Linked DNA regions of Mus musculus. The protein of the gene in region 1 purifies or fractionates together with the protein of each later gene. This does not show direct contact. Links are inferred from orthologs where the notes say so. Each region holds a gene or a part of one and is shown in the gene's direction. Other genes may lie near its edges.

What was found. The genes of interacting proteins can lie anywhere in the genome.
Region 2: the proteins of Gdi1 (region 1) and Rab31 purify together in Homo sapiens (co-immunoprecipitation; 3 studies listed by BioGRID and IntAct, counting the BioPlex papers as one, with this or other methods). This does not show direct contact. The link is inferred for Mus musculus from reciprocal best matches to the Homo sapiens genes GDI1 and RAB31.

What each region holds. Positions count from the first base shown.
Region 1 is NC_000086.7:74,310,143-74,312,476, forward strand, and holds the end of Gdi1 (rab GDP dissociation inhibitor alpha), read left to right. Parts: intron 1-247; coding exon 248-392; intron 393-495; coding exon 496-550; intron 551-644; coding exon 645-797; 3' UTR 798-1,725; downstream 1,726-2,334. UniProt on the Homo sapiens protein: Regulates the GDP/GTP exchange reaction of most Rab proteins by inhibiting the dissociation of GDP from them, and the subsequent binding of GTP to them. Promotes the dissociation of GDP-bound Rab proteins from the membrane and inhibits their activation.
Region 2 is NC_000083.6:65,696,147-65,699,802, reverse strand, and holds part of Rab31 (ras-related protein Rab-31), read left to right. Parts: intron 1-1,740; coding exon 1,741-1,812; intron 1,813-3,425; coding exon 3,426-3,532; intron 3,533-3,656. UniProt on the Homo sapiens protein: The small GTPases Rab are key regulators of intracellular membrane trafficking, from the formation of transport vesicles to their fusion with membranes.

The sequences.
Region 1 (2,334 bases):
GGCTGTTATGCATCTCTTCTCACAAGAAATCTTAGGGCTTCTTGTGACATTTTGTTACAGAATCCCTGCGGCTTGGATGGCTTGAGCTCTTACCTTGTTCATGAAAATGACAGTTTGAATGCTGTTTACATGTTGGGTTGGGAGCAGGAGCATGTGGGCCAGATTCCTGTCTAGCCTCTAGGAACTACTTTTTGTGTGTGGCCATTTTCCTCTGGTACATGTTAACCAATTGGCTTCCCATGGTCAGACATCTATGTGTGCATGATCTCCTATGCGCACAACGTGGCCGCACAGGGCAAATACATCGCCATTGCCAGCACCACTGTAGAGACTGCAGAACCAGAAAAGGAAGTTGAGCCTGCATTGGAGCTGTTGGAACCCATTGACCAGAAGTGAGAGGCTGAACCAAACTTTATGGGGAGGTTGGGGATTAGGAATGGGCAAGGCCCATTATGAGACTTTTCTCTTCTTTCTTTTCTTTTATTTGCCCCTTAGGTTTGTGGCTATCAGTGATTTATATGAGCCCATTGATGATGGTTCAGAGAGTCAGGTAAAAATGCTGTCCCAGTCAGCCTTGGTTCTTGCAGTCTATCCAAGATCCTCTGCCTGACTTCCGTGAGCCCTGGGGTTCTGTCTATTTACAGGTGTTCTGTTCCTGCTCCTATGATGCTACCACACACTTTGAGACAACCTGCAATGACATCAAAGATATCTACAAACGCATGGCTGGTTCTGCCTTTGATTTTGAGAACATGAAGCGCAAACAGAATGATGTCTTTGGAGAAGCTGATCAGTGATTGCTGACTCCCCTCCTCCAGCCCCTGTTCCCCTCTCCCCAACTTGTATGTCCTTCTCTAGGGCAGGGGAGATGGTATGGCTAGGCATCCTTGTTTCCAGCATCTTCTGCTTCCCCTACCACATTCCAATCACCCACCTTATTGATTTTATTCACTGACCATATCCTTAACCTTAGGGATGGTTTGGGAGATGGGAGTTGGATAGTATCCTCTTTCTTGGTCTGTCCTTGTTCTAGGGAAAGAGAACTTTGTGTGTGTGTGTGTGTGTGTGTGTGTGTGTGTGCGCGCGCGCGTGCGTGTGTGTACGTGTGTGTACGTACGTGTGTGTGCGTGTGTACATGTGTGTGCATGTGTGTGTGCATCGTGCACCCCCAATTTTGCTGTTTGGGAAGGAGTGGAGGAAAAGCTGACCCCCACCCCCACTGCTCTTAGTCCCAAATGTAGTGGCCTTTGGAGATACCCATCTCCTCCCCCAACTCTTAGGTGTTGGAGAGAAGGGACCCTCCCAGCACAAAATTGCATTCCTCCTCCTCCTCCTCCTCCTTATAATTTATTCTAATTTATTAACTTTGGAGTAATTGTCTGAGCCCTCAGCCTTTCTGTGCAGCCTAGGGCTGTAGAGTGAGCTGCCCTGGCCTCTCCCAGTGCTGGCAAAGCCTGGGATGGGAGAAGATTTAGGTGTGACCCCCTCTGGAGGTTGATCTGTTTTGAATTTCTTTTGTGTTGTGTTCACTGAGAAAAAGTAATGTGAGCAAAGCAGAAGGAGGTAGGAAAGTGGATCCAAACCCCAGTGTACCCTGCCCCATGCCTTTTCCTTTAGTGGTGGGAAACCCTTACCTTGCAAAGTGAATGTGTCCCCTTCCCCAAGCTCTAGTATATTTCACAGAAAACAAAAACCTCCCAATAAAACTATTGAAACTTAAGCCTGGCTCTTTAGGTTCTCTGCTTTAAGGCTGTTTTGCAGGACTGGGGCAATTTAGCTTCTGGACTAGAACTGTATCCGCAAGGATCAAGGCAGGTGAAGTAGGTCATCTGGTGTTGGACGGGTCATCATTTACTAGTGGTTTCCAAATCAGAAGTCAGTGTGGAGGTTTTGGGTTCAAGGCTATACTGACCTCTCCGAAGCAGAATAGCACAGGTGAGATGGTTCAATGCATAAAGATATTTTCTATGTGACCCTGAGTTTGATCTTTGGAGCCCATGTAAAGGTGGAAGGAGAAAACTGATTCCACAATATGACCTCTGCACATGTTCAGTGGCTTGTGCACAACATGTAAACAAACACATTTAAATTTTTATGTGTATGGCTATTTTGCCTAGGTGGGTGTGCACAACTTGCATATCTGCTGCCTGCAGAAGCCAGTATCTCCAGGAATTGGAGTTACAGTCAGTTGTGAGCTATTTGAATGCTGGGGATCGATTCTGGGTACTCACCATTGCCTGAGCCATCTCCTCTGCCTCACACAAATTTTTAAAGGAGAGGTATCAGGAGTCTCAGTCCTGGGGGAGCAAAGGGACCTGGACCTAGCCTTGGATG
Region 2 (3,656 bases), on another chromosome or scaffold:
AGACTTGTTTGTGACCATGGCGTCCTGGCTTCTCCCTAGGTCTTCTGAGCATTCCAACGAGAAGTAGCATGTGGGAAAGAGAGAGAATGGGTAGTTTTGTTGTTCGCCAGAAAAACTACAGGAATCATCTTTCCTCTCCCTCCTTTATGCCCCAATAAAAATAGCAGATTTTTTTTTTGAAATATCTTATTATGTTGTGTGGGGGTGGGGACCATGTGGCTCTGTTAGAGACCAGTTAGACTCTGTTAGACCCAGTTAGAGGTCAGAGACTGTGGAGATGCGGTTCTCTGCTTCTGCCATGTGGGTTCCTGGGGTTAAACTCAGGTCTTCAGGCTTGGTGGCAAGTGCCCTTACTTGCTGAGCCATCCCACTGGCCCTTATTGCCATTTTAACCTAAAATCATCTTACTTAAAATTATTGTGTGATGTATAACATTTTAAATGTAAAAATTACTGGACTTTCTATCACTAACAGTTGGGGAATGATCTAGTAGTTTATACATCCATTGCTGAGGTAGATCCTTGTTTACAGACAGCCTTCTTCTTTCTGTATCCTTGTATACAGGGTGTGGAGGGGACATTCTTCCTCTCTGTGAAATACTCTAATCCCATCATGAGACTCTCTTCATGACCTCATCTGACCCCATGACCTATGACACCCCCGATCTTCCCCCCCAAAAGCCATCACAATGATCAGGATCTCAACCCTGGAGTTGTGTGGAGCACACATTCAGTCCAGGATATAACACAGTGCCCCGATGAACCTTCACGGTCTTTGATTTTTACTTCCTTTACAACATAGGGAAATATCTTTCTGGACCTGGTGGCCACACTAAGTATATATTTCCTGTAAGTAGACTTCTGGGTCAAAGGGATTGCACATGTCAGTTTCTGCTAGGTCGTTCCCAGTGGCTTTGTGGGGAAGCACTAAATACCACCCTGTGTAGTAGTTGAGGGTGTCTTGCTCCCCAGAACCACCCCAACATTGAATCTAAGGCCTTTTAACGCTTATTGCATTATTAAGCACCTCATCATTTTTAGTTCATTCTTTTGTTAATTGAGTAAGTGTAAACATTTGCTGGTAATTTGTAGTGAGTACTTATCATTTCTTCAACTCCCTACTGAGCTCTTTTTCACTCACTGGCCTATCCCAAAAGCTTTTTAAATAAAAAATATATATATACAAATTAAGACTAGGCCCCCATTCAAAATATGCATGTAGTGTATACATTCAGAGAATAATTATCCATCTTATTTGAGGATGAGAGGTTCTGGTTCCTAACCTAGTTTGGGGGCTGAAGCCCATCTAATGTGTCACCACTAGCTGACCTTGGTAGGCAATAAAGCTTTGCAACCAGGCAGGTCTTTGCTCCGTGCCAGTAGCTCTGCAAGGGTCTAGTGCTCTGAGCTCTCCTAGGGACCTGTCTTTTCCTTACCACTCCAGAGTTCTAATGAGACTGCCCTGGACCAACAGAGAAAAGGAAATTCAGAGGAAGGCAACACTGAAAATAAATCTGTCTCTGGCTTTTGGCCCAGAGGAGATTTCACGGTCCATAAACCACAAGTGTATGGCTAGCTGGGGAGCAAAATTTATTATTTAATCTTAAGTCTTGGAGAAGTCCAAGGGGGGATTTCGAGCTCCTACAGAGATGATGTGGCATAACATTTTAATGTGTGGCTTAGGGATGCTTAAAATCTGTTTGTTGACCGAGGCCTAAGACTGCTGCTTGCTCTTCCACAGTTCCACTCCCTGGCTCCTATGTACTACCGAGGATCTGCTGCAGCCGTCATCGTCTATGACATCACTAAGCAGGTAAGGATGTCTCCAGCTTCAGACACCCTGCTTGGTGACCGTCCCAGAAACACTGAAGCAGACTGGTGCTTTGTGATTCTTGCCAGTGCCCTGGGAGCCTCGGCCATGTGGCAGGCAAGAAAGCTGAAAGCTACACATCCCGTTTCGCTCACCAAGCCACCCTGATTGATCTTTTCAATTACGGAAGCAATAAACATTCATTTGAAAGCTGATCTTTTAAAACAAAATCTATTCTATTTATGTGTAGTTTTACCTGCCTGTATATCATATGCTACGTGTGTGTCTGGTTCCCAACTGAGGTCAGGAGAGGGCATTGGATCTTTTGAAACTAGACTTGCGCATCCTTGCGCGTCACCATGTAGGTGCTAGGAACCAAACCTGGTCTTTCTGAAAGAGCAGCCAGCAGTTTTAACTGCTGAGCCACCTTGCCACTCATTAAAACTGAGCATTCACCAGGAGGCCAGGTGAACACTTTCCTTGAGAAAGTTTTAAGTCCCGGGTGTTTTATCATTATAGGCTATTTTCTGTTGGAGGTTCAGTTGCACCATTCAAAGGTCAGAGGTAATATTTGTATATATAAAGGTAACTGTGTGTGTGTGTGTGTGCTTGTAGGCGGTTGTCCCCATTTATCTGCGGTTTGCTTTTCTGTAGTCCTTGCTATGCAAGGTCAGCTTCCATCCAAAAGTATTAGATGGAAAATTCTAGGAACGAGTGGTACAATTAAAACAGTGTGTTCTATGATTATGACCACGCTATTTTGTTACTGTTTTTATCTTACTCGGCCCACTTGTTTGCTTCAACTGTGTCGTAGGCACGCGTGGGACAGAAACAGGTTGTTTCTAGGCTTGGGTTCCAAGGTAGTGTGTCAGGCGTCCACCGAGGACCCTGGAATGTATCGCCTGTGGATGAGATTGCCTGGAATGGATTTTGAGGTATACTCATTAACAAGCGAGTGCTTCGATTTGATGGCGTTCCTCCTGCCCCAGTCCCTCTGGAATGCCGACTGGTAGCTGGATCATTGCTGCTTGTGTAGTCCATGAGTTCTGACCTTTTTCCCCAAAATGTCTGACCACTTGGCCTCTGCCCTAGAGGAGGGTCGAGTGAAGGGCAAGCAGGACCCGAACACACACCTTTCTCCTGAAGTAGGCCTCGGTATTTGTTTGGTTCTGAGATTTTGGCTCCTACAGAGTCAAGGCTAATATTTCTAGTCAGTGGTTCTTACTGAAGAAAGTTACACATGTTGGTTTTCAACTCCCTCAAGTTTTAATTTAGAAAGAGACATCTTGGGCTGGTGAGATGGCTCAGTCGGTAAGAGCACCCAACTGCTCTTCCAAAGGTCCGGAGTTCAAATCCCAGCAACCACATGGTGGCTCACAACCATCTGTAACAAGATCTGACTCCCTCTTCTGGAGTGTCTGAAGACAGCTACAGTGTACTTACATATAATAAATAAATAAATCTTAAAAAAAAAAAAGAGAAAGAGACATCTTAGCTAATGTTAACCCCTACAAAATGTCTTTTTTTCCTCCATTGAATTACACTGGATTCACATCTCTACTTCTTTGAAGTATACCGACAGGATTGTTCAGTGACTCATTTTGTTTTTTGGTTAGGATTCATTTCATACCTTGAAAAAATGGGTCAAGGAGCTGAAGGAGCACGGCCCAGAAAACATTGTGATGGCGATTGCTGGGAACAAGTGTGACCTCTCTGATATTAGGTAAGACACATTTCATGTGTGTATGTATGTGTGTGTGACGTGTGTGATGTGTGTGATGGTTGTGTGTGTGAGATATGTGCACAACCTATCTGATATTAGTAGGTAGGACACATTTCAAGTGTAT